7 linked regions of the Macaca mulatta genome follow. The protein of the gene in region 1 binds, or shares a complex with, the protein of each later gene. Links are inferred from orthologs where the notes say so. Each region holds a gene or a part of one and is shown in the gene's direction. Other genes may lie near its edges. The genes, in order: GPKOW, PPIL2, SF3B5, ARMC7, RBMX2, RBM48 and CRIPT.

The links.
Region 2: GPKOW (region 1) and PPIL2 share a complex: the UniProt entries of both Homo sapiens proteins name them as parts of the minor spliceosome. The link is inferred for Macaca mulatta from reciprocal best matches to the Homo sapiens genes GPKOW and PPIL2.
Region 3: GPKOW (region 1) and SF3B5 share a complex: the UniProt entries of both Homo sapiens proteins name them as parts of the minor spliceosome. The link is inferred for Macaca mulatta from reciprocal best matches to the Homo sapiens genes GPKOW and SF3B5.
Region 4: GPKOW (region 1) and ARMC7 share a complex: the UniProt entries of both Homo sapiens proteins name them as parts of the minor spliceosome. The link is inferred for Macaca mulatta from reciprocal best matches to the Homo sapiens genes GPKOW and ARMC7.
Region 5: GPKOW (region 1) and RBMX2 share a complex: the UniProt entries of both Homo sapiens proteins name them as parts of the minor spliceosome. The link is inferred for Macaca mulatta from reciprocal best matches to the Homo sapiens genes GPKOW and RBMX2.
Region 6: GPKOW (region 1) and RBM48 share a complex: the UniProt entries of both Homo sapiens proteins name them as parts of the minor spliceosome. The link is inferred for Macaca mulatta from reciprocal best matches to the Homo sapiens genes GPKOW and RBM48.
Region 7: GPKOW (region 1) and CRIPT share a complex: the UniProt entries of both Homo sapiens proteins name them as parts of the minor spliceosome. The link is inferred for Macaca mulatta from reciprocal best matches to the Homo sapiens genes GPKOW and CRIPT.

What each region holds. Positions count from the first base shown.
Region 1 is NC_133426.1:49,201,149-49,204,648, reverse strand, and holds part of GPKOW (G-patch domain and KOW motifs-containing protein), read left to right. Parts: intron 1-865; coding exon 866-975; intron 976-3,162; coding exon 3,163-3,376; intron 3,377-3,500. UniProt on the Homo sapiens protein: RNA-binding protein involved in pre-mRNA splicing. As a component of the minor spliceosome, involved in the splicing of U12-type introns in pre-mRNAs.
Region 2 is NC_133415.1:31,327,311-31,331,593, reverse strand, and holds the start of PPIL2 (RING-type E3 ubiquitin-protein ligase PPIL2), read left to right. Parts: upstream 1-1,483; 5' UTR 1,484-1,574; coding exon 1,575-1,606; exon of another isoform or gene 1,607-1,649; intron 1,650-4,283. UniProt on the Homo sapiens protein: Has a ubiquitin-protein ligase activity acting as an E3 ubiquitin protein ligase or as an ubiquitin-ubiquitin ligase promoting elongation of ubiquitin chains on substrates.
Region 3 is NC_133409.1:49,348,244-49,350,588, reverse strand, and holds SF3B5 (splicing factor 3B subunit 5), read left to right. Parts: upstream 1-1,152; 5' UTR 1,153-1,253; coding exon 1,254-1,514; 3' UTR 1,515-1,845; downstream 1,846-2,345. UniProt on the Homo sapiens protein: Component of the 17S U2 SnRNP complex of the spliceosome, a large ribonucleoprotein complex that removes introns from transcribed pre-mRNAs.
Region 4 is NC_133421.1:84,791,365-84,795,431, forward strand, and holds the start of ARMC7 (armadillo repeat-containing protein 7), read left to right. Parts: upstream 1-1,267; 5' UTR 1,268-1,340; coding exon 1,341-1,431; intron 1,432-1,514; coding exon 1,515-1,658; coding exon of another isoform or gene 1,659-1,690; exon of another isoform or gene 1,691-2,062; intron 2,063-2,363; exon of another isoform or gene 2,364-2,397; intron 2,398-4,067. UniProt on the Homo sapiens protein: As a component of the minor spliceosome, involved in the splicing of U12-type introns in pre-mRNAs.
Region 5 is NC_133426.1:136,863,367-136,867,663, forward strand, and holds the start of RBMX2 (RNA-binding motif protein, X-linked 2), read left to right. Parts: upstream 1-1,497; 5' UTR 1,498-1,512; coding exon 1,513-1,517; intron 1,518-1,728; coding exon 1,729-1,844; intron 1,845-3,296; coding exon 3,297-3,348; intron 3,349-4,297. UniProt on the Homo sapiens protein: Involved in pre-mRNA splicing as component of the activated spliceosome. As a component of the minor spliceosome, involved in the splicing of U12-type introns in pre-mRNAs.
Region 6 is NC_133408.1:126,862,844-126,866,847, reverse strand, and holds the start of RBM48 (RNA-binding protein 48), read left to right. Parts: upstream 1-1,204; 5' UTR 1,205-1,234; coding exon 1,235-1,345; intron 1,346-1,898; coding exon 1,899-2,089; intron 2,090-4,004. Other genes in the region: peroxisomal ATPase PEX1, read right to left, coding at 727-855. UniProt on the Homo sapiens protein: As a component of the minor spliceosome, involved in the splicing of U12-type introns in pre-mRNAs.
Region 7 is NC_133418.1:78,216,525-78,220,580, reverse strand, and holds the start of CRIPT (cysteine-rich PDZ-binding protein), read left to right. Parts: upstream 1-1,256; 5' UTR 1,257-1,334; coding exon 1,335-1,350; intron 1,351-2,817; coding exon 2,818-2,883; intron 2,884-3,676; coding exon 3,677-3,731; intron 3,732-4,056. UniProt on the Homo sapiens protein: As a component of the minor spliceosome, involved in the splicing of U12-type introns in pre-mRNAs. Involved in the cytoskeletal anchoring of DLG4 in excitatory synapses.

The sequences.
Region 1 (3,500 bases):
CTGGGCAACAGAGCAAGACTTCATCTCAAGAAAAAAAAAAAAAAAAAAGAAAACCTTGGAGTCATCCTCAATTCCCCTCTTTATTTCATGCCCCATACACTCTGCCAGCACAATCCTTCATCTTTTTTCAAAATGACACCCAGAACTGACCACTTCTCACCGCCACGAGCATCTCTCATCTGGACTATTAGAGTAATTTCCTCACTGGTCCCTCTTATGGCTCCCACCTGGCTCAGGGTCCTCTGACTCCTGCCCAGCTCTCCTGATTTGATCTCTTCCCCACCCTTCTCTGCTCTCTACTCTCACTATCTCCATTTCAGTCATGGTGACTTTTACCCCTCACACATACCAAGCCTTGTCCAGCCTCAGGGCCTTTGCTGTAACTGTGCTTTCAGCTCGGGACACTTTCTTCTCATATCCTCATGGCTCCCTCTGCTATCATTTCCTGATCTCTGCTTAAATGTCAACCCAGAGGCACTCCCTCTCCATCCCTCTGCATCTTCTTACCCTGCTTTCTTGTTCTATACGTCACCACCTGACATATCATGTTTTCTGGGTTTTATTTATAGTATGTCTCCACAACTAGATCAGAAGCTCTGCAAGGGTAGGGGTTTTTGTCTGTTTGGTTCACAGCTTCATCCCCAGTACCTAGAACAGTACTTGCCATAGACTAGGTGCTTTCTATTTGTTGAAGGACTGAACATGGAGGAGTACAGTGAGGGATGGAAAGAGGAAATCAAAACACCCTTGAGCTGATTGGAAAAGATGCGTAGCAGGTCTCCCAGTGGGTGGCAGCAAGTGCACTTCAAACAGAGGACCCAGTGTAAGCAAAGCCTGACCCTCCTTCCTCTACCTGAACCTGTAGGTGCCAGAGGAGGCTAATTATGAGGCGGTCCCCGTGGAGGCCTATGGGCTGGCCATGCTGCGGGGCATGGGCTGGAAACCTGGCGAGGGCATCGGCCGCACCTTCAATCAGTGAGTTCTGGGATAGGGGCGAGGGGACAGACAGATCAGGCTGCAATCAAGATCCCCAGGGTCACTGCCAAACCAGAACCACTCCAGGCAGGGAGGGAGGATACATTATCGCCCTAACTAATTCAGTAGCCCCTTCCACTACTGTTTTAAACTCCCATTTGCCCTTTGAAACTCTAATAGGATCCCATTTATATAAAGTCTGCCTCTAGGGACATCAATTTCTTCATCTGAAAAATGGGGGTAATAGTACTGACTTCACAGGTCTGTTGTGAGAGTTAAATGAAATTATACACATAGGCCAGGTAGTGGCTCATGCCTGTAATCCCAGCATTTTGGGAGACTGAGGCAGGAGGATCACTTAACCCCAGGAGTTTGAGACTGGCCTGGGCAACATAGGGAGGCCCCATCTCTACAAAAGATTAATTCATTTTAAGAAAAGAAATTAGGCCGGGCGCGGTGGATCAAGCCTGTAATCCCAGCACTTTGGGAGGCCGACAAGGGCGGATCACGAGGTCAGGAGATTGAGACCATCCTGGCTAACAGGGTGAAACCCCGTCTCTACTAAAAAATACAAAAAACTAGCCGGGCAAGGTGGCGGGCGCCTGTAGTCCCAGCTACTCCGGAGGCTGAGGCAGGAGAATGGCGTAAACCCGGGAGGCGGAGCTTGCAGTGAGCTGAGATCCGGCCACTGCTCTCCAGCCTGGGCTACAGAGCGAGACTCCGTCTCAAAAAAAAAAAGAAAGAAATTAGAGCCAGGCGCAGTGCCTTGTGCCTGTAATCCCAGCACTTTGGGAGGCTGAGGCGGGTGGATCACAAGGTCTGGAGATCAAGACCATCCTGGCTAACACGGTGAAAGCCCATCTCTACTAAAAAAAAAATACAAAAAATTAGCCGGGCATGGTGGCGGGCGCCTGTAGTCCCAGCTACTCAGGAGGCTGAGGCAGGAGAATGGCGTGAACCCAGGAGGTGGAGCTTGTAGTGAACCGAAATCGCACCACTGCACTCCAGCCTGGGCGACAGAGTGACACGCCATCTCAAAAAAAAAAAAACAAAAAAGATAAACTATATACGTAAAGCACATACAGTAGGCCCTGACCCCAAGAAAGCGTAGACTAAACATTTGCTATTGTCATGCAGACTTACAACCCTTTCTTCGCAATTGCAAACTCAAGAATTGTGAAAACCAAACATTTTTTTCATAACCCATTGGCAGCCAACTATGACCTGAATTGGCGTTGAGTTTTTTTTTTTTTTTTTTTTTGAGATGGAGTCTCTGTCTGTCACCCAGGCTGGGATGCAGTGGTGCAGTCTCAGCTCGCTGCAACCTCTACCTCCTGAGTTCAAGTGATTCTCCTGCCTCAGCCTCCTGAGTAGCTGAGATTACAGGAATGCACCAGCACGCCTGGTTAATTTTTGTATGTTTAGAAGAGATGAGGTTTCCCCATGTTGGCCAGGCTGGTCTTGAACTCCTGACCTTAGGTGATCTGCCAACCTCAGTCTCCCAAAGTGCTGGGATTACAGGCATGAGCCACCGTGCCCAACCATGTTGAGTTTTTATAGTCCGTTTCTCCTGCTTGGTGTGAATATTCATATGATTTCCCCTGTAGAAATAGTATATTTGGTTACAGTGATCTGCCTCTGATCTCACTGTAGATATTATGTAATAGATGGTATATGCAGCATGTTATTAGGTCGAACCAAATGAAATTGCTGTTTCTGTAGGTCAAAAACAGTCCTAATATGAGATCGGAAAGGGCAACCTTGAAAATACCGATGGGGGCCAGACATGGTGACTCACACCTGTAATCCTAGCACTATGGGAGGCCAAAGAGGGCGGATCAGCTGAGGTCAGGAGTTCGAGACCAGCCTGACCAACATGGTGAAACCCTGTCTCTACTAAAAATACAAAATTAGCCAGGCATGGTGGCATGCTCCTGTAAACCCCAGCAACTTGGGAGGCTGAGGCAGGAGAGTCGCTTGAACCCAGGAGGCGGAGGTTGCATTGAGCCGAGATTGAGCCATTGTACTCCACCCTGGATGGCAAGAGCAAAACTCCGTCTCCAAAAAAAAAAAAGAAAAGAAAAGAAAATGTCAATGGTGGGGGTGGGGGTTTGGGCAGGGAGAGGAGGTAAATAAGGTGTTGAAGACTATTGCATCCTCTCCAACAAACCCATGTTCTCCCTGCAGAGTAGTGAAGCCCCGTGTCAACTCACTGAGGCCCAAGGGGTTAGGGCTGGGTGCCAACCTGTCTGAGGCCCAGGCCTTGACCCCCACCGGCCCCTCCCACATGCCAAGGCCAGATGAGGAGCAAGAGAAGGATAAGGAAGATCAGCCTCAAGGGCTGGTGCCAGGAGGAGCTGTGGTGGTTCTTTCTGGCCCTCACCGAGGCCTCTATGGGAAGGTAAGGAACCAAGATATCCCGGGAGCCCAAAACAGGCAGTAGGGAAGGTTGATCCGAGGGTCAGATGGAGGAATAATTGGGTTTGAGGTAGAAAGGCTGGGAGTCCTAGTCTTTTAGGTCTGCT
Region 2 (4,283 bases), on another chromosome or scaffold:
ACACACACATACATTAAAATTTTAACCCAAGTACGAGTCACATTGCACGTTCTTCTCAGCAACTTGCTTTTTTCCATAAATAAAACACTGAGATGTCTTTACTTCTTGGGATATCTACTTCATTCCTTTAAGCAGTTCCAAAATAGTCCACTGCATGGCTGTACCAGGGGTCGTTTAGCTGTGTTCTCATAGACATTTGTTTCCAGTTTTTTTTTTTTCTTTGAGACAGAGTCTTGTTCTGTCACCCCAGGCTGGAGTACAATGGCACAATCTTGGCTCACTGCAACCTCTGCCTCCTGGGTTCAAGTGATTCTCACTGCCTCAACCTCCTGAGTAGCTGGAACTACAGGCACCCGCCACCACACCCGGCTAATTTTTGTATTTTTAGTAGAGACAGGGTTTTGCAATGTTGGCCAGGCTAGTCTTGAACTCCTGACCTCAAGTGATCCGCTTGCCTCAGCCTCTCCAAGTGCCGGGATTACAGGTGTGAGCCACCACGTCCGTCCAGACATGTTAAATTTGAGATCAGCGGCTACCCAAGTGGAGATCAGGAACCTGGAGTACTGGTGACTTAGTATTGGGAGTCATGGGATATAAATGGCGTTTAAAATTAGGAGCCTAGGCAAGATTACCCCGGGCCTGAGTGTAGTTGGGGGCCCAAGGTACTGTTCTGACCCAAGGCAAGAGTCTGGCAGAAGAGAAGGAAGGGATCAGGCAGGGTTTTGGACCTCTAGGCTTGATGGCCACCTGCTGCTGGGCCTCCAAGGGGCCTGGAGGCGGTGCGGACGGAATATGCAGAGAGAATGAGAAGTGAGCGAGTAGAACGAGGGTGGTACATGGCTTTGAAGGAGTCGGCCACGGAGGCGGGAAAGGATGGGGTGGAGGCTCATGAGACTTGAAGCTCTAGGAGGACATTGAAAAAGACCTGAGCGCTGGCCGGGCGCGGAGGCTCAGGCCTGTAATCCCAGCACTTTGGGAGGCCAAGGCGGGAGGACTGCTTGAGCTCAAGAGCTCCAGACCAGCCTGGGCAAAATAGTAAGAGCTTGTCTCTACAAAAAATTAACATATTAGCCGGGTGTGGTGGCGCGTGCCCGTAGCTACTCGGGAGGCTGAGGTGGGAGAATCGCTTGAGCCTGGGAGGTCGAGGCTGTAGTGAGCTGTGATTGCGCCACTGCACTCCAACCTGGGCGACAGAGCGAGATCCTGTCTCGAAAATAAAATAAGACCTGAGAACCCAGTATGGGAATGGCCCTGAGCCGTGGCTGAGGGGGGCAGGCGAGGCGGTCGGGAGAGACCCTTCGAGAAGATGGGGCTTCGAGGCTGAGGGAGCTCTGCCCCGAGAAGGCGCCAGCGAGACACAACACACCTAGCTAGGACCCCATACTGGGCAGGCGATCCTTCCGAGCATGCGCACCTGGCGCTAGCGAACCACAATTCCCAGCACGCCAAGCGCCTGTTTCCGGGGCGAGCCGCGGAACCCGGAAGTGGTCACGAAACTCGGCCGTGGCTCCATGGTCTGAGTGGTCAGCGGTTGCTTTTTCGTGCTAGGTAGTTGCCGCCGCCGCCGCGCCGCCATGGGGAAGCGACAGCACCAGAAGGACAAGATGTAAGTTGAGTCGCAGTCGGGAGTGGCGCTCCGCTCTGCCTCAGTAAACCGCCTGTCCCGCCCTGCTCGCCGCTCGCCTTCCCTCTCAGCTGGTCCCCAGAGCCCAGCCCAAAAGTCACTTCCTCCCGGAAGCTGCCACCGTCTCTCCAGTCAGGGTAATGACCCTCGGGCCGCCGCGCTCTCCCAGGGGGCCGCGGCTCCGAAGACGTCAGCTGCGGGCTCGAGCGCAGCCCGGTCTTTCTTTACTCTAGTTCTGCCCGGACCGTGCCCCGTCTGCTCGCGAGCTTTGCCCCTGTAGTCTCTCCCTCTTCCGTACTTCGCGTCTGGCTGTGTTCTGGTTCATGCCTATCAGCCTGCACACGTGCTGCAGAGCCTTCCTATTTAAAGCAAACCAGGCCGGGCGCGGTGGCTCACCTGTAATCCCAGCACTTTGGGAGGCTGAGGCGGGCGGATCACCTGAGGTCAGGAGTTCAAGACCAGCCTGGCCACCATGATGAAACCCCGTCTCTACCCAAAACACAAAAATTAGCGGGGCGTGGTGGCGGGCGCCTGTAATCCTAGCTACTCGGGAGGCTGAGGCAGGAGAATCGCTTGAACCCGGGAGGCGGAGATTGCCGTGAGCCGAGATCGTGTCACTGCACTCCAGCCTGGGCGACAGAGCCAGACTCTGTCTCAAAAATAATAAATAAAATAAAACAAAAAAATCCGCCTATGCCCCGTGCCCCGCGTTCCCCTCCTGCTGCCGCCGTGATTTCAGAACAAGTTAGAGACCCGTGGCTTCATGCTGTTTTCTGAGTCTCTTGAAACCACTCAAGTCAGAATTTCGATCCCAGAACTGCCCCTTGTCAGGTTGCCAGCGACTTCTTGTTGCTAACTCTAGTATTCAATCCTCAGTCCTCGTGTTTTTTTTGAGACGGAGTTTCGCTCTTGTTGCCCATGCTGGGGAGTGCAGTGGTGCGATCTCGGCTTTCCGCAACCCCCGCTTCCCAGGTTCAAGCGATTCTCCTGCTTCAGCCTCCCGAATAGCTGGGATTACAGGCATGTGCCCCCAGGCCCGGCTAATTTTGTATTTTTAGTAGAGAAGGGGGTTTCTCCATGTTGGTCAGGCTGGTCTCGAACTCCGATCTCAGGTGATCCGCCCGCCTTGGCCTCCCAAAGTACTGGGATTATAGGCGAGCCACCGCGCCAGGCAGCCTCAGTCCTCATTTTGTTGGGGTTCTCAACAGTATGTCACACTGTTAACCACTCCCTCCTTCTGAAGCCCTCCTTTGGTATCTGAGATTTCCTGTGCTCTTTGTTTTCCATCGACTTCAGCGGCCTCTCTTTTCCCAGCCTCCTTTCTGGACCCTCCTCCCTTTTCTCAGATCTCATAGGTTTCTTTTCCATAAACATTCTCTGTGAGTGATATAATTTCCCAGTCATCTATAAGCTGCTTTCCCCAGTCTTGTGTAGTTAGTGGCTTACTTGATATCTCCACTGGAGGACTGATAAACATCTCAATTTTTTTTTTTTTTTTTTTTTTTTTTTTTTTTTTGAGACGGGAGTCTCAGGCTGTTGCCCAGGCTGGAGTGCAGTGGCGCGATCTCGGCTCACTGCAAGCTCCGCCTCCTGGGTTCACGCCATTCTCCTGCCTCAGCCTCCTGAGTAGCTGGGACTACAGGCGCCCGCCACCGCGCCCGGCTAATTTTTTGTATTTTTAGTAGAGACGGGGTTTCACTGTGGTCTCGATCTCCTGACCTCGTGATCCGCCCGTCTCGGCCTCCCAAAGTGCTGGGATTACAGGCTTGAGCCACCGCGCCCGGCCTCAATTTTTTTTTTTTTTGAGATGGAGTCTTGCTGTGTTGCCCAGGCTGGAGTGCAATGGTGCGATCTTGGCTCACTGCAACCTCTACTTCCCAGATTCAAGCGATTCTCCCACCTCCGCCTCCCCAGTAGCTGAGATTACAGGCGCCTGCCACCATGCCCGGCTAATTTTTGTATTTTTAGTAGAGACAGGTTTCACCATGTTGGCCAGGCTGGTATCAAACTCCTGACCTCGGGTGATCCACACGCCTCTGCCTCCCAAAGTGCTGGGATTACAGGCATGAGCCACCGTGCCCTCAAATTTAATATGCCTTAAACAGAACTCTTGATTTTCAGCTCCTGAGCCTGCTCCTCCCTGTAAGCTAAAAATAAAATCCTAAATCCCCTTACTGGCTGAGCAGACACCCTTGTGCCTAAGAGAACTCCAGGAAAACCTTAAAACTGAGTTCCTGGCCATGATGCGATGGAGGTCAGCTGTACCTTGTTATATCTTCCTCCCTTTTGTGGCCCAGACACAACAACTGACTGGCATTAACGTTGAAATAGAGATCATAAAGGGGCCCGGCGCGGTGGCTCGCACCTGTAATCCCAGCACTTTGGGAGGCTGAGGTGGTGGATCATGAGGTCAGGAGATCGAGACCATCCTGGTTAACATGGTGAAACCCCGTCTCTACTAAAAATACAAAAAAAAAAAAAATTAGCCGAGCGTGGTGGCTAATTTTTAATAAAAATAAAGAAATAGAAATAAGATTGATGAAACAGACTCTTTGTGGCAATAAGATACCAAATTATAAATAGAACCTATAGTCATGCCAGACAACTTCCCTGGTTAAGTTACCCACCCCTACGCCTAAAGAATAAACTATATCCTTTT
Region 3 (2,345 bases), on another chromosome or scaffold:
TGTAAATGCTATGTAAATAGTTGTTATACTGTATTGTTTAGGGAATAATAACCTTAAAAAGTCTACACTTCAGTACAGACTGACTTTTTCCCCAAATATTTTCAATCGGGTCGGTTGAATCCACAAAACCCACTGAATGGAAGGGCCAAGTAGGGTGCAGTGAGGCCTTGGAGGAAGGATATCAAAATAAGTGGCTAGAGGGGAAGGAGGAGCTTGAGGTGGAAGCCGGAATGTGTGGGAATTGGTGCTGTACTTGCTCACCAAGCACCCTGGTTAGAGCTGAAATAACTCTTTTATGCCACAGACTCCTAAAAGACATAGCTGGGACCAGAACTTGTGCCTGCCGACTTCTGGGTAATCCATCCCTGGTTGTGAAGGGATGGCTGTGCTACCATGATAGCTTTGGAAAACACGGAGAGTTTATTTTCGGGGCTGCTTGTAGTCCAGTCCTACTTGGGTTTCCCATTTCCCATCAGCCCCAAGCCACCCACGGATGCTCCCCACCTCCCAGACATCACCCTCCACTAGGTCCCCAGATCACTTTTAAAACGCGACCAGGGGCCTGGCGCAGTGGCTCACGCCTGTAATCCCAGAATTTTGGAAGACCGAGGAGGGAGGATCACGAAATCAGGAGTTCGAGATCAGCCAGGCAAAGACAGTGAAACCCCATCTCTACTAAAAATACAAAAAAAAAAAAAAAAAAAAAAATTGGCCTGGCGTGGTGGTGTGCGCCTGTAATCCCAGCTACTGGAGAGGCTGAGGCAGGAGAATCGCGTGAACCCAGGAGGCGTTAAGTTGCAGTGAATCGAGATCGCGCCATTACACTGCAGTCCCGGCAACAGTGCGAGTCTCTGTCTCAAACAACAAAACGAGACCAGGAGTTCCAGAAGACTACGAGCACGAACTCCCAAGACCACAAGTCCCAGCATGCAAGGCTCCCTGTTGGAAAAGGGCTTCCCATAGCCACCAAGTGGACCATCATGCAACGCTCTCTGACGGGGCGGGGCTCTCTACAGGGGCGACACACTTGTGGCGTCGCCTCGGCAACTCCAATTCCGTGACAGAATGTGCTTCCGCTTCCGCCTTTGAGCCCTATGAGCGAGACTTACGCTACTTAGTCGTCGTGACGCCATTCTTCTGCGACGGCGCGGGCCTGGAGCTTCCGCACGGTGGCCTCACTCCCGCGTGAAACGCCAGAGCGGCGGTTTGTTGTCTGCGTCCTCTGTCCTGGGAACTAAGGGGAAAGCGGCGAGATGACGGACCGCTACACCATCCACAGCCAGCTGGAGCACCTGCAGTCCAAGTACATCGGCACGGGCCACGCCGACACCACCAAGTGGGAGTGGCTGGTGAACCAACACCGCGACTCGTACTGCTCCTACATGGGCCACTTCGACCTTCTCAACTACTTCGCCATTGCAGAGAATGAGAGCAAAGCGCGAGTCCGCTTCAATTTGATGGAGAAGATGCTTCAGCCTTGTGGACCGCCAGCCGACAAGCCCGAGGAGAACTGAGACTCTGCCTTACCACCACTGTGCGGGGCACCTCTCCCAGTGTTCCTCAGGTTGGCCAATCCCTTCGACTATTTCTGCCTCCAAAGGACCGGCTCTCCATGGCTCCTGCGTCTGGTACTTCCGCGTACAGAAGTGCTTGCCCGGGGAATCCCGCCTGACCTGCCTTCATGTGAACCCTTTGGAATAGCACTGGGAGACCAGCAGAACTCCTGAGAACTGTGCTGGTGAAGAGGGCCTAGAGCCGGCAAGCGTTTGAGAAGAGGGCGTGGCGCTGGAATGAGATGGGATTTGGCGTCTCATTTTTGGCTAATTGATTGTCATTGGCTTTTTCCATAAAGTTTAGAAATCATTAAGTCTCTTGGTGTGAACTTCCTGTGTTAGGGTGGAGGGCTCCTGAAAGACCCGAGCGGGAAATGGGTCGGGGGAGGGAGTGCATGCCAGTGTCCATGATCAGGTACTTAAATCCACCCTGTCTACCATTATAATTAATTCCCCGACTGCCACTTCTCCCAAGAGCGTTATTTTCAGGCCCACAATGCCTTCAGTATTGAAGTTTGTAGTTATTGTATCCCATTTTCTTTTTCTCCCGTTTTAAAAGTCTTTGCAGTCTTTGCTGTCATTGTCCTCCTTAGCCTCTTTAAAATGCATCCTTTCTTTTTCTTGGGAATTTGTGGCCATGTCTCCAGAAATGACAAGCTGGCAAGTGAGTTCATCCTTTCTATATTCAACAAATATTTGTTGAGCTCTATGTGACAGGCATTTTCCCATGTTCTTGAGGCTTACATTATGCTGGTGGTGGAGAAAGGAGGTCAAACACTGTAGACGTAATAA
Region 4 (4,067 bases), on another chromosome or scaffold:
TGTTTTTTTAACACAAGTGACTCCAATTAGATTAACAACTTTTGCATTCTCAGGACACTCACAGCCTAAGCCACCTCTCTACCCCTACGTTGTCAAACGCGATGGGAGTGTAGTAAGGCCACCTCCTTCCCTGGTGCTTTGTTCCCTGTAACCACGAGTAGTAATCCATCACACACCTGCTTCCCGAGAATCCTCGAGAAGGAATCGGCCGAAGGGCTTCAGCATCCAGAAAGCCCCGAAAGCGCCACAAACAAGGCTCTTCCTCCGGCTCCCCGGTGCTGCCCCGGGCGCGCGCCATCCACCCGGCTGACAAAAAGCACCAGGACATGACCCCGTCCCCTTTGATTTCTGTCCAGAGGTGGCGGACTCACCTCGGGGCTGGGATAGAGGACGGGTCGGGGTCGCTACGCTTTTTGCAAAAGGGTCAAAAGACTGATGGGGGTGGGTAAGGAGCTGACGCCCGCGCTCTAAAGGGGCGCCCCGCCAGCCATGGGGATCCTGGAGGTGCTTCTGCCTCGACGTCCTCCCAACATGGGTGCTGCCAGACTCCGTTGCGCTCCTGAGTTGCTCCTCACGTCATTCCAGCCGCCCGACATGGGTGCCTCACTTTCGGCTTCTGGGCCACGTCGGGGCGGCGGAGGACCCGGGGGGCCGGGCGGGAGAGTGGGAAAGGTGGGGCGGGAAAGCCGAGAGAGGCCCTCACCCGCCTTCCTGTTGGCGGGGGCGGCAAGTGGGTTTCTTTCTTGCGTTCAGATTTTGCAATAATTTGCAGCTGGACATAGGATATGGGAGACAAGGCTGCTCCTCGCAGTACACCCACCCACGCCCATACCTCCCTCGGCGAAGCGTGTCGCAGCGGGTTCCAGCGCAGGCTAAAGAGCTTCCGCAGCCAGAAAACCGAAAGCGCGCCGCGCACGCGCGCCAAGGAGTTCGGCGACGGCCCCGCCCTTCGCCTGCCTCGTCCCGCCCCTTCCGCGCCTTGTAGGGTGGGGACAGCGCGGCTTCCGCCGGGAGCCTGGAACCGAGCCCGGCAGCCGGGGGCTGGGCGCCAGTACCCACTCCGCCAGCCCCAGCCCGCAGACGGTTCCCTGTCTCCCGCGCCCCAATTTCGATTTTCAGACCCAACTCCTACAGGATTCTGAGACCCCGGCCCATCTCCCCACATTCCATTTCCAGCTGCAAATTACTGCAGAGTCTGAACCCAAGAAAGAAACCCGTTTGCCGTCCCCGCGTCTTCCCTCGCCAGACAGGTGGAGAGTGGGTGAGGGTCTCGCTCGGCTTTCCCCCTGCACCTTTCCCACCCGCCCGCCCGTCCCTGGGGGTCCTCCGTCACGCCGGCCATGGCCCAGAAGCCGAAGTTGGACCCCCACGTCGGGCGTTTGGGATACCTGCAGGCGCTGGTCACGGAATTCCAGGAGACCCAGAGCCAAGGTGAGAGCCACGGTGGGACCAGGTGACAGGGTCGGCTGTGACCGCCGCCCGGACCTGGCTCCAGTGCCGCTTTCCCGTTGCAGACGCCAAGGAGCAAGTCCTCGCCAACCTCGCCAACTTCGCTTATGACCCCAGCAACTACGAGTATCTGCGGCAGCTGCAGGTCCTGGATTTATTTCTCGATTCGCTGTCGGAGGAGAACGAGACCCTGGTGGAGTTTGCTATTGGTAAGGGCTGGGCCCGTTCGCTAGATGGCTAAATGGGCCGGGGTGAGGTAAGTGAGTTACAAGTGAGTCCTTGGGGCCTGGCGTGGTGGCTCACACATGTAATCCCAGCACTTTGGGAAGCCGAGGCGGGGGGATCACCTGAGGTCAGGAGTTCGAGACCAGCCTGGCCAACATGGCAAAACCTCGTCTCTACTAAAAGTACAAAAATTAGCTGGGCATGGTGGCGAGTGCCTGTAATCCCAGCTAAGCGGGAGCAAAAATTAGCCGCACACAGTGGTGTGCACCTGTAGGCCCAGCTACTCTGGAGGCCGAAGCAGGAGGATTGCTTGAGTCCGGGAGGCAGAGGCCAAAGTGAGCTGAGACTGCGCCACTGCACTCCAGCCTGGGCGACGGAGTGAGACCATGTCTCAAAAAAAGATGTTTTAAAAAGAGCAGTTTTGTAGCCAGGCGCGGTGGCACACGCCTGTAATCCCAGCACTTTGGGAGCCCGAGGCAGGCGGATCACCTGAGATCAGGAGTTCGAGACCAGTCTGGCCAACATGATGAAACCCCGTCTCTAACTAAAAATACAAAAATTAGCCGGGCGTGGCGGGCGCCTGTAATCCCAGCTACTCGGGAGGCTGAGGCAGGAGAATCACTTGAACCCGGTAGGCAGAGGTTGCTGTGAGCCGAGATGGCGCCACTGCACCCCAGCCTGGGCAACAGCGAGACTCCGTCTCAAAAAAAAAAACAACAACAATTTCAGGTGGGTGAGGTGGCTCACACCTGTAATGTCAGCACTTTGGGCGGCCGAAGCAGGCAGATCACTTGAGTCCCGGAGTTCAAGACCGGCCTGGCAAAAGCCCATCTCTGCTAAAAAAAAAAAAAAAAAAAAAAAAATTAGTCTGGCGTGGTGTCCCAGCTACTCAGGAGGCTGAGGTGGGAGGATTGCTTGAGCCTGGAGGACGAGGCTGCAGTGAGCTGGGATTGGGCCACTGTACTCCAGCCTGGGTGACAGAACGAGAATCTGTCTTAGAAACAAAAGTAACTCATATTTAGTGTTTTCATATCAGGAGAAGCAGAGATGGCTTGCAGTCTGTAACTTACGGCTTCTTTTGTAGTTATGATCTTAAGACCTATTGATTTATTCACTGGGCAGATATTTACTGGGCATGTACCGTATATGTAAACTACTGCTCTAAATGCTGGAGTATGGTGAACAAGTTAGGGGAAGTGTTTGCCCCTCAGGAGCTTACATTCTAGTAGGGGGGACAGGTGGTTAGCAAACAAAAAAGATGATGCTCAGCAGCAAATAAATGGGGTGATGAGAAACAGCAGTAGAAGGTGGTGGTTACTTCTGTTTTGGCCATCATGAGAAAGGCATTTTAGCAGGGACACAGCATGGGCAAAGGCCTTAAAACAGGAAGGAGCCAGAAGGAAGATGAATGTGGCAGGATCGTTATAGTGAAGTGGAGAATGGCACAAAAAGAGGATAGAGAGTTAAGCAGCACCAGAGCTTGCCGGAGCTTAGATCTAGGCCGTGGGAAATAGTTTGAAGCAGACAAAATTTTGAGAACAAACAAAAATCCCTTTTTCAAGCCATGCACAGTGCTCATCTGTAGCCCCAGATAGGAGGATCGCTTGAGCCCAGGAGTTTGAGGCTGTAGTGTGCTACGATTGCATGATTGCACCTGTAAATAGCCACCGCACTCCAGCCTGGGCAACACGCGCGTGATCACCTGGCTGAAGTCTTGTCAGGCTTCTCCACTGTAAAATTACTCTTTCTTTCCCCTCTTTACGTATTATGTATTATACCCATTGGAAGGAAGTCACTACATAAATTATCTTAAATCTTTTTCTTTTTTTTGAGATAGGGTCTCACTGTGTCACTTAGGCTGGAGTACAGTGGTGTGATCATAGTTCACCATAAATTTAAACTTCTGGGCTCTAGCAGTCTTCCTGCCTTAGCCTCCCGAGTAGCTGTGACTACAGGTGGACACCACCATGCCCGGCTTTTTTTTGTTTTTAATTTGTTTTCGAGAGGATCTCACTGTGTTGCCCAGACTGGTCTCGAACTCGGCTTTTTTTTTTTTTTTTTTTAATTTGTTGTCGACACACGGTCTCACCGTCTTGCCCAGACTGGTCTTGAACTCCTGGCCCCAAGAGATAAATCGCTTGTAACCCTAAACAGACCCTCATTTCATAACACTGATTCTTGAAGGCCCCAACCAGGAATGCAAATGTTCCCCCTTCCGGTTTGTCTCATTGCCTCTTTGTGGTTTGTTTCTTTATCCCCTTTATTTCCTATAATCTAGAAATTGGGTTGAAAGTCTTGATAGGATCAAGTAACACATTTTATTTTATTTTATTTTATTTATTTATTTATTTATTTATTTTTTGAGACGGAGTTCGCTCTGTCGCCCAGGCTGG
Region 5 (4,297 bases), about 88 Mb from region 1:
GTCAATATGGGTTAAATCACATATTATATGTTAATCATCTCTTCCACTGGTTTCTAGATATTTCTGGTTGAAATCTATCAGGCAAATATATCTTGTCCCCTTAATTATAATATTAGCTCCTTGAGGGCAGAGGACCCACCCTGATACTCCTGTCTACAGACCTTAGCTGCACAGGACAAATCTAGATGTTCAGTAAGGACTGATTGAATCAACCTGACCTACTGGGTGCAGGTACTCTAGTACCTTTCTAGTTAATTTATTCATTTGAGCCTCATTTCTTCCTCTACAAAACGAGGGTGGAAATTTCTTTTACTTTCTCTTTCTTTTTTTTTTAAAACAAGGAGTCTCGCTCTGCTGCCCAGGGTGGAGTGCAGTGGTGCGATCTCAGCTCACTGCAACCTTTGCCTCCCAGGTTCAAGTGATTCTCCTGCCCCAGCCTCCCGAGTAGCTGGGATTACAGGCGTGTGCCACCATGCCTAGCTAATTTTTGTATTTTTAGAGGAGACAGAGTTTCACCATGTTGGCTGGGTAGGTCTTGAACTCCTGACCTCAGGTGATCCACCTGCCTTAGCCTCCCAAAGTGTTGGGATGACAGGTGTGAGCCACCACACCTGGCCCCCCCCTTTTTCCTTTATTTTAGAGACAGGTTCTGCTATGTTGCCCAGGCTGGTCTCAAACTCCTGAGTTCAAGCAATCCTCCTACCTCAGCTTCCCAAAGTGCTGGGATTACAGGCATGAGCTGCTGCGCCCGGCCAGGAATTGTAATTTTATCTGCTTCATTGGGTTGTTGTGAGGGTGGAGAGACAATACATGTAAATTGCTTAGCACATACTCTAGTATCATACAGTACATCATCTGCTCACTTGCTAGCTATTAATTTAACAATATTAATTTCTGTCTCCTGCTCAACTAGGAGAGAGCCTATGGAAAAGAGTAAGTGCAGCGGCTCTCATGCAAATCTGTAGGTATTCAATTCAGCCTATAGAGGCACACTGGTCTGTTGCCTATGTATTGGGATAAGAACAACAGAAGATTTACCTTTTCACCTATCTTCTTCACTTTTCTGCCATGACAGGGATGCTTTGATGGGTCTGTGCGTGAGCAACTGACTAGGAGCGAAGGTCCAAGTGGGACTCTGGACTGGGAGCGAGGGCTGAGACTAAAGTCGCCACATCAGGCTGCTTATTCCGTTCATTCAGCAAATATTTATAGCTAATCTAACCAGTTTCCGATATCGTTCAAGAGCTGGGGGTCCTGCAACAGCCCAGGCTCGTGCCTTTACCCCATTTCACAGAGGAGAAAAAGCGAAAAATTAGAGAAAAACCGTTTCTACAAGAGGTAACTGCAAAGAACGCGGAAGGCTTCTAGTGCGCAGGCGCCACGCCCCGGTACGCCCCAGCTCTTCCGGCGCGAGGTCACCGACTCGACGAGCCACCGGCGCCGGGGCCGCGCATGCGTGGCGCTGCCTTTCCCGGGCGCTGATTCCTGAATGCTGAGCGCGAGCCCGCGGAGATGAAGTAAGGCGTCAGCTTCCTTTTGAGGAACGAGCAGCGGGCCGCTGAGGGTGGTCTACCGGGGCTGGGGTGGTAGAGCGTCTGCGGGGTCGAGGGGCGGGAGAGGCGCGGGGACTAGCACAGCTCGTCCCCTTGTTTTGCTCTTCTTCAGCTTCGGCCGGTTAGCATTTACTTGTCTGCTTTTCTGCCTCCCCTCCCCCCCGCCACCGTGAAGTCCTTTAACTAAGGTGAAGCTGATCAACGAGCTGAATGAACGAGAGGTCCAGCTTGGGGTGGCCGATAAAGTGTCCTGGCACTCCGAGTACAAGGACAGCGCCTGGATCTTCCTGGGTGAGGTGCACATCTTTCTTCCGCAGTGCTCCCAAGATTCTCCTGCTCGGTGTCCGACTATTTCAGCATTTTCACCCTTCACTCCTGCTTACATTCATTGCCCTCCTTTATATCCATCTGCTGTCTGCCCGGGAATCCGTGTTCCATCTTTTTTTTTTTTTTTTTTTTTTCTGCCCCATTTTTAGTTTTCCTTCCCAGCCAAATCAGTGCTCATGAGAGTTACTGTTTGCCATTTGCTGTGCTAAGGTTCAGGGACTGTTGTTATTTCTCTCTCACCCCCTGACCCGTTATTACAGCTGAGGAAATTGGGGTGCAGAGAAGTTAAGGGACTTCCTTAAGGTCACATAGCTAATAACCGCAACAGGCAGAACTATAGCTTTCTAGAACTCATGGTCTTAGCCACAGCCCCATATTGCTACCACCGCCCTCCCCCATTCCCCTTCCCTTGCAGAATTCACTTTGCTCCTCTAGCTCCTGCTTTCTGACCATGGCCACACTACCATTACTGTATTCACTTTATATCACAACCAGTAATTGTACAAGTTTGATGCTTCAAAGAGGTTATTGTAAAAACGTTGTGCTAAGCACTTTATATGCATCGTTTTATTTAACTCTTATAACAGTCTTGCGAGTTACCTGCTAATATCCCCATCTTACAGATGAGGAAAGAAACATTTGGAAGGGAAATTATTCCCTAGGAAATGCTTAACAGTGTCTTTATAACCTTTGTCTATGTGTAGGTGGGGTTAATCATGACATATGTAGACTAATTTTGTATCATAGCTGTAAATTTGTGGGTAATGAGCAGATGAATTCAACATGTTTGTGGAAGCAGAGGTTTGTGATGGAAACTATCTGCTTTGCCCATAGGATTTTGGGTGCCAGGAGGACTGAGTGATCAGTTTACTTTTGTTAGTGGTGACACTGACTTCCACTCAAAATTAGTCACTCCTTTTCCTGTTCTACTGGCACCTTACATGTACTTCTGTCATTGCATCAGACTTGATTTCTTTCTTTCTTTTTTTTTTTTTTTTTTTGAGTTGGAGTTTCACTCTTGTTGTCCAGGCTGGAGTGCAGTGACGTGATCTCGGCTCACTACAACCTCTGCCTCCTGGGTTCAAGCGAGTCTCCTGCTTAAGCCTCCTGAGTAGCTGGGATTACAGGTGCCCGCCACCTCGCCCGGCTAATTTTTTTTGTAGTTTTAGTAGAGACGGGGTTTCGCCATGTTGACCAGGCTGGTCTCGAACTCCTGACCTCAGGTGATCCACCCGCCTTGGCCTCCCAAAGTGCTGGGATTACAGGCGTGAGCCATGGTGCCCAGCCCAGACTTGATTTCTTTAAGGGCAGGGCCTGTTGCTTACTGTTTGCACCCCTAGTGCCTGGCCTAGTGCATGGTACGTAGTAAACACTTGGTAAATGTTGGTGGAACTGAAATGTGGTTTTCTTTTCTAGGAGGGCTTCCTTATGAACTGACTGAAGGGGACATCATCTGTGTGTTCTCACAGTAAGTCCCCTTTCATTTCCTGCCTCCTGAGTCGACAGAGTACTTTTTTCTGTAATGCATTTTGTGGCATCACAAAAACCACTTATTTTCACTCTAGGCTGAATGGCGTCCCTGCATGGGGAGGGCTGGAGCTTCTGCTCTAGTCTAGATCAGTCCCAGGACATGGTTCTAGAATGTTCTCCTGTGGGAGATCCAAGAGGTTTGTTAATTTGGGAGGCCATCTTGGGGATTCTAGTCTATTTCTGTTGTTTTTCACTGAGGTTTGTTCAGCCTGGGCCTAGACTGGAACAGACTGGAACCCTCAGGAAGGTTCCATATTGGTACGCCTCCTTGGGCTCTTGCAAACTAGGGGTAACCCATGGTCACAGGGCCCTTCTGGTCCTTGCCTGTGTGGCATCATACGACTGGGGCAAACCACAGAGGAATTGGGATGAAAAACAGAAAGAAGGTTGTAGTTTGCTTTCTTTGATTCTCAATGAATGTAAGGTTAGTGAGCAAAGCCAATCTCTACCTGGAGGCTGAGAATCACAGCCTGACGAGGAACAAGAATGAATAGGAGATCTGTATATTCTTCATTCTGCTGAGGTGTTGGCAGCAGCATTTGGTGGGAGAGGGTGTTGGTGGCTCATACTGGTAGTAGCAGCTAGTAGGAGAGGGGCTGGGCAGCTGGCCTGCAACCCCAGAGGTAAACAGCACAGTTAGTCCACAGGGCCAGAGGATCTTGGCACAGGTGCAAAGGACCACTACATTTGGGTTTTGTAGGCCTTCAGAGCATAGTACTGTTTCAGAGAAGTTGGACAGCATGTACAGGTAGCAGACCATGGCAAAAGGGGCTGGCCAAGCAAACACAGGTAGCATACACTGGCAGAGGGATTGCTATGGCAGGATGGTAGGGCCATCCATGGACAGAGGGCCCTGGCTGAGTGGTTGGGCCACTTATGGGGCAGCA
Region 6 (4,004 bases), on another chromosome or scaffold:
AGGATTTATGAAGATTTCAAATACGCCGTCCTTTTGCCCCCATAACCACACTCAAACTCGTGAGACCATGTGCCTCTATTTTTAATTACGAAAATAAGGACGCTGTATCTCCACCGGTGGTTAGAACTGCGAAACATCCCAACCACAACGTCCAGAAGGGCGACTGATCGCAGAGCTTCAAGTGATCTTAACTACGTTATGTGTTCCTGACACACTACAGCTGTGTTCCGAGGGTCTGGGACGCAGGGCAGAACCATTACTGTATTAAGCTTTCCCGCTCATGGGACGCGGTGCTCAGTCCCCGGGGACCGACAGGGGCTCCACCAACAACTCTGCGCCTCCCTCTCGCGGCCCGGACGGCAGCAGCGCAGGTAACTGGAAATGACTGGCAAGAAAAGCACCTTTTAAAATAACAAAAACAAACCACTTATCAGGAACTTTTCCAGCCTGGAATGAGGAATATTTATAAAAACAGTGGTAGAATATTAGGACATTTCTAGGCCCAGTTTCACCAAGTGAAAAGACCTGGGATAAGACGAGCCCAGGGCTGCACTGGACTTGCGGGATGCAGAGACTAACCAGAAGGGCCCTGCCGTCGAGGGACCCTAATCTCTGTACGCTTCGGGGGCGCCCGGGTGGCAGCCGGTGTCCCGCCGCGTCCCTGAGAGGCTTCGGCCTTGTCCGACCCCAGGCTGAAGATCAGGTGGCCCGGGGCCAGCACGTTACCTGCAGCAGGTGCAGCTGGGCCACGAGACCCCGCGGCAGGTGGAGGAAGCAGTCGCGAGCGTTGGTGAAGGCCACAGTCACTGCCGCCCCGCCTCCCCCAGCACCCGCCAGGCGATCGCTGCCCCACATCGTCCCGAAGCGTCGCTCTGGGTTTGCCCACCCTAGCGCCGCAAAGGACACGGGACCTGGCAGGCCGAGGACGTCGGAACCGGAGGAGATCGATCGGCCCCGCCCCCTGAGGCCCCGCCCCCTCTCCCCGCTGCGCGTCTCGCCGTAAGCCTGTAGTGGGGTGGGACAAGAAAGCTTCTGTCACCCACCGCGCCTCTCCGCCAAGCCGCTCGGGGGCGGCACCTCGTTCATCAAATCCTCGCACGCAGGAAACGATGGCCGACGCTGTCGATTCTTCAGCCAATCCTGACACTCCTTAACTCATCCCGCTCTCTTATTGGATAAAAGGGAGGTCAGCAGGGCGGATGTTGTCCTCCCTGCGAGGATCAAAGTAGGCAAGATGGCGTCCAGCGGTGGGGAGTTAGGGAGTTTATTTGACCACCACGTCCAGAGGGCGGTGTGCGACACGCGGGCCAAATATCGGGAGGGACGACGGCCTCGTGCTGTCAAGGTAAAGTGATTTTTGGTTTCATTCGCTCTCCTCGGTAGCTTTTTGTGAGCGCTAGCGCCATATGGCTAACCTACGGAAATAAAGGCACGACAAGGCTTCCGTCAGATCTGTCGCTCATTAGAGCTGGCGTGAAGAACCCTGGGCCAGGTACCAAAGATTCTCACGACCCTTTTGGTCAACTATTAGAACATCAACTCCACGAGAATAGGGCTTGGTTTTAGTCATTGGATCTTCAGTGTTTACAGTACTACTTGGCACAGGTAAGCGCTCAGTGAATATTCGTTGAGTGATTGTTCCCAGTGACTTCTGCCGACTCAATTTCTGGAAAAAAATGTCGACTGAAGGTAGTCTGTTATATGCCTTAGGTAGCCTCTCACATGGACTGTTACTCTTTATGCAGAGGGAATGGCAGAAATTTTATTTTGTGTTTTTTGCTGACTGGGTTGAACAGATTATTTCTTGTTTTCAAAGTTCTGTTTAAAAAAAAAAATAGAGGCAGATTCGTCCTAGGCTTATTTGCGAAATACGTTTAATAACTATGCATTTCTTTCAGGTATATACAATCAATTTGGAATCTCAGTACTTATTAATACAAGGAGTTCCTGCTGTGGGAGTCATGAAGGAATTAGTTGAGCGATTCGCTTTATATGGTGCAATTGAACAGTACAATGCGCTAGATGAATACCCAGCAGAAGACTTTACTGAAGTTTATCTTATTAAATTTATGAACTTACAAAGTGCAAGGTAAGGTGCAAGTTAAGCAATGACTCGTTTCATTTCCTCCATTCATATTTCTGTCATTTTGGCCCCAAGTTTCCCTCATTCATATCTGAATTACCCCAAAATGTAATCTAGCATATCTTCCTACAGCCTTTTTACAGGTTAACTTTACTGAAACACTGTATCCATCACATCCCATGCTTAACAATTTAATGTCCTGTAGCGTGGTAGAGTAAAAGTTGGGTTTGGCCAGGCACGGTGGCTTACGCCTGCAATCACAGCACTCTGGGAGGCCGAGGCAGGCGGATCACGAGGTGAGGAGTTTGAGACCAGCCTGGCCAACATGGTGAAACCCCGTCTCTACTAAAAATACAAAATTAGCCGGGTCTAGTGGCGCATACCTGTAATCCCAGCTACTCAGGAGGCTGAGGCAGGAGAATTGCTTGAACCCAGGAGGCAGAGGTTGCAGTGAGCCGAGATTGCGCCATTGCACTCCAGCCAGGGCAACAAGAGGGGATCTCCGCCTCAAAGAAAAAAAAAATGGGTTTGAGGGCTGGGCGCCAATAACTCACGCCTCACGCCTGTAATCAGAGTACTTTGGGAGACCGAGGCAGGCAGATCACTTGAGGTCAGGGGTTCAAGACCAGCCTGGCCAACATGATGGAAACCCCGGCTCTACTAAAAATACAAAAATTAGCTGGGTGTGGTGGTGCAGACCCGTAGTCCCAGCTACTCAGGTGGCTGAGGCATGGGAATCGCTTGAACCCGGGAGGTGGAGATTGCAGTGAGCAGAAATCACACCACTGCACTCCAGCCTGGATGACAGAGCGAGGCTCTGTCTCAAAAAAAAAAAAAAAAAACAGAAAAAATTTGGGTTTGGCGCCAGGCATGTGGCTCACACCTGTAATCCCAGCAGTTTGGGAGGTGGAGGTAGGCGGATCACCTGAGGTCAGGAGTTCAAGACCAGTCTGGCCAACATGGTGAAACCCTGACTCTACTAAATACAAAAATTAGCTGTGTTGGTGCAAGCCTTTAATCCCAGCTCCTGGGGAGGCTGAGGCACAAGGATCACTTGAACCCAGAAAGTAGAGGTTGCAGTGAGCCAAGATCATGCCATTGCACTCCAGCCTGGAAAGAGTGAGACTGTCCCAGAAAAAAAGAAAAGAAAAGAAAAAAAAGTTGAATTTGATCCCAGCACTATGGAAGGCCAAGGTGGGCAGACAGCTTGAGCCCAGGAGTTCGAGACCCGACTGGCCAACATGGCAAAACCTCACCTCTGCTAAAAATACAAAAATCAAGGTGGGCGTGGTAGTGCATTCCTGTAGTCCCAGCTACTTGGGAGGCTGAGGTGGGAGAATCAGTTGAGCCCAGGAGGTGGAGGTTGCAGTGAGTCATTTATGGACCACTGCACTCCATCTTGGGTGATGGAGTGAGACTATGTCTCAAAAGAAAAAAAAATGTTGGGTTTGGAGTAAGTTTTCCATTTCCACTGCTTACTAGCTTTGTGATCTTGGACAAGTTATTTAACCTGTTTAAGTTTTTCCTGTTCCGTAAAATCTATATGGTAAAGGGACCTATCTACTTCTTGAGGTTGTATGAGGATGAAATGAGATAATCCATATAAAGGGTTTAGCAGAGTGCCTCCTGGTCAGAATACAGTAAGCATTAGCTATTGTGGTTTCTACTGTTACTCCTTTCTGCAAATTGACTCAGTGTTTTCCGGCCTTCTATGTGACATAAACCCTCTGCTCCAAAAAGGCTGAAGTATGCAATGCCTTATCTATTTTTATGTTGATCTCTGTTCTCCTCACTAATCTGCTCTGAGACCCATCCTTCTCTGGCTGTTACAATTCATATTTTCTTTCATGTGCTATCAGTAGAAATCATAATCTACCACAAAAGCACTTGATTTTACTGGGTCATGTGTGGTTTTCTCAGG
Region 7 (4,056 bases), on another chromosome or scaffold:
AAAATAGAAATATCTCAGAAAAAAAATACTATACATACACACACACACACACACACATACACGTGGGCGCGCGCGCGGGAGGGGCGCCCGCTAGTGCGAAAAGCAGAAGGGCGAACCTGGGCCTTATCCTAATAGCTCTCATTTAATTCACCCAGTGCTTTTCAAAGGCAGATATTTTACTGATAAGGAAACAAGGCAAACAGGTGAGGTGGTCCAAGGTCCCACGCGCTACAGCTCTCTCTCTAAGGAAATACACTAGGCATGAAGAAGCAAACGGATGGCAAGAAGGGACAAAGGTAAACTTTCCCATAGATTCTCTTAAGCTGATTGAGGGAGGGCAAGGGGATCAGGAATCCATTCTCTCAACAGATAGCCCTTCAGCCATTTTTCTGAGCCACCCTCGGAATCGCAGCTGCCATCAGATGTGGATGTAATACAGTGAGCAGTTACCAAACTCAACCGTTTGCTGAGTGAATGAAGGAACCAAAGTAGGCAAAGTGGGAAACCAACTCTCCTGGGAAACCAGCACCGTGTTAGGCCCTGGCGTGCCCCCAGGGCGCCTGCAGGGGTGCCACGGGCATGACGCGGCCCACCTCCCCAGGCACCGCAGCGGAGAGAAGGCTCTTCAGAGCGGCCCCCAGAGGAGCCTTCACGGGCATCGCCGCACCTCCACCGGCAGCTCCACCCCAACCCTGGTCGCTGGGAATTCTGCCCGACCCTAGGCCGGCGCGAGCGTGGGCAGCGAGGAACCAGCTGAGAAGCAGGATCAAAGAGCTCGGGAGTTGGAGACAAAGAAAAACTGGGGGACAGAGGCAAAAACTCGGATCCGAAAGGGGGTCTGTCCATCAGGGCACGCCGGAAGAGTGGCGCTCGAGCTGACGGCGAGAGCGGGCGGGCCGGGGCGCCGAGGCTCAGGGCTGCTTCGGCAATTCGCGGGGGTGGCTTGCACCCCGGGAGGCGAGAGCGCCTGGGAAGTCCAGCGGGGCTTACCTAACTTTCCCGCCCGCGGAAGGGAAGCGGGGAACTACTGCCTCCCACCATCAGGTACGACAGGAGGCCCAGGCCCACGCGCAGACGCAGGGTTGTGGGGCGGACACCCACGGCCGAACAGCCAGTCGCAGAAAGGGAGGGGCGGGCAAATGGGGCAGCCCCACCTAGCCGCTCGCGTTCATTCCTCCCGCGGCTTTCCAGGTTTGGGGTAGGCGGGAGCGGTGGGCTTAGAAGCCGGAAGTGGATTGACGTAGCCCGGAAGGGGAATACTTCCCAGTTACAGTGTTGATGTTTTCAGGCTCCTGCTGCTCCTGTTGCGGCTAGGGGAACTGTCGTGGGGAAGGATGGTGTGCGAAAAATGTGAGTTAAGGGGCTGCTTCTGCGGGAGGAGGAGGCTGGGATAATCTAACTGAGCCCTCCCGGGAACTTTGCCTTCTCTTTGTTTTTTTCGCCCACAGGTCTCTGATTCTAGCCGCTGTCTTTCTACCCTACCCTTTGACCATTTTTGCACCTCCCCAACGACCATACAGTCCTATGTATTTTGTACTCAGAATGGTCTCAGTTCTGCACCTCCCTCTCTATTTCCATTGCCTTCCCCCAGCCCCAGATCTCATCGGCTCCCCTCCCATATAAAAATGTTCAGTTAAACCCCAGCGACACCTTTCCCTCTTGGCAATTCCTGTCCTTTCCTTTTTATTCGTGTAACAAGTATTGTACTCCTGCCAAATGTTAAACACTGGAACCAAAGACTTAGGACTTTGCCTTATTCATTCTCATTAGTCATTATGCCAGGATATGGCGTAGAGTAAACCCAGAGATGTTTGAATTGAACATCAACGTAAGTGCAAATTATTATTTCCCTAATTTAAATCCTTTAATAAACTCTCAGTGTGCAGAGAATAATTTGGGGATTCTATATTTGGAACCTGACGTTCAGTACCCTCCACACTAAGGCGCCAACTTATTTTTCCAGCTTCATTTTCACTGACCCTCATCCTCTTCACACTTTGACCAAACAAAATACTCTTTGTGCCCATGTGTACTCTAAGCTTTCTATGCCTTTCCTCAGAATGTGTCCTTTATCTAGTTTGCGTTCATCCTCTTTACTCCTTTTTGTTCACAGTCCTGTTGCCACATATTCAAATCCTCTCTCTTGCCTTCTCTCCAAACTTTGTTTTCTTGGATTTCCTTAGCCAGGGTTATTTTTTCCTGCCTGGAATTTCTCCCAGTACTTTAGTTCTCAATTATTATATCTTTTATTTTTTAGCTTACATTTTGTTTGAATGGTTCTTTTTGGGGGGACGGTCTCTGATCCCTCTGAGAATCTGATGAAAACTGTAGCCTCTTGCCAGGAAAAAAAACTGAAAATATAAAAGGTTTGTGTACAACTCCACCTTGTTCACATATCTCTTAAGATCCACCTGGGGAACCCAGGTTACAGATTGCTGTTAAAGAAATTAGTATACTATAATCTCATTAAAATTTTGTCTGATTCATCACTTTTTCTCAGCACTTTGTATAGTTTATACATCATAGATGCTTAGTAAATATTTATGGAACAAATAGACTTATTGGATTTTTTAAAAGTATAAACAAACAGTGAAAGCTTATTATAAGCCATCTTATTATCCTGCGAATTTTACCGACGGTCAGTCATTCATTGCCCACAGTTAATATGAGTCTCAGTTGACTGGCTGCTTTCTCAGCATTAACAGGCTCCTATGGTAATAGCATTGATAGTCGATACCATTGTGAGCCTTAGGCACAATGTAATGCACTTATGAAATAGTAAATTTTAATTTTCCTTTTACTATCTTGTTCTAACAGGTGAAAAGAAACTTGGTACTGTTATCACTCCAGATACATGGAAAGATGGTGCTAGGAATACCACAGGTATTTCTTCTTTTAGAAAATAGGAATTTAACCAAATACTTACTGTGAATTATATTTTAGCTTTTACATTATTTGTACAATGAAATGTTGTATGTTCAAAGTATTTTATCTATTAAATGTTAAAGAATACTGGGTCCCCAAGTGATTTAATATCTTTTATTTAGTTCTCAGTTACTTGTATGGGTTCCCAATATCAGGAGATAGCAAAATTATTAAATGATTGTCAAGTGGTGACAATATCACAGTATTTGATTATCACAGTATTTGATTTGATTCAGCTTATTTAGAGTCTGTTTTTAATTTCCCCACTCTTCTGAGGAGAAATTTTTTTAAATCTTCTGATTTTTATATTCTTGAATAAATAAATGCTTTAACCCATTTTACCTTCATTATCATTAAATCTTTATAATGAAGTATTTACCTTCATTATTATTAAATACATATAGTAAAGTATGTTTTCAAAGCGTAGACAAATAAACATTTTCATTATATTGAAGGTCTATGACACTGAAGTAGTGGCTTCTAGATTTTACACTATATAGAGTAAATATAGACCCATTCCTAAAGTACTCCCTTGAGTCTGAGAAATAAAATGATTGTATTTTATACAAATTTTTACTGTTTCCCTAATAAATGTTTTCTTTTTAAGCAGTGTCTTAATAGCCTACTAAATGAGGATTTAAAAATTAGATACAGACTACTATTTTGGTAGAAAGTCAAAGAATGAACTTCTTAATGTTTTATGTTAAATGTATAGAAATAACCCACTAAAATATCTTTTATTCTGATACAGAAAGTGGTGGGAGAAAGCTGAATGAAAATAAAGCTTTGACTTCAAAAAAAGCAAGGTGGGTAAGAGCATCCATAGACAGATCATATAAATTTCCTTTCTTTTAGTATTAAGTCTGCTGGAGTGAATTTGATGTGCATCATTCCATTTGCAATAAAACATAAAGGTAGGTGGTTCATAGCACTCAGAACCAAGCTATCTGTTACAATCCTGCTGGTTTTACCTTATTCCTCCTTGGCTGTATCAATATATGAAGATATTAGTGTTATTCTCTTACAGTTTCACCAGAAAACATGACTTGTATTTTATCTCCTTCTTAATTATCCTATGAATCAGAGACAGCAGGGAAATGTGGAAAGATGGTAAGCTTTGGAGTCAAACCT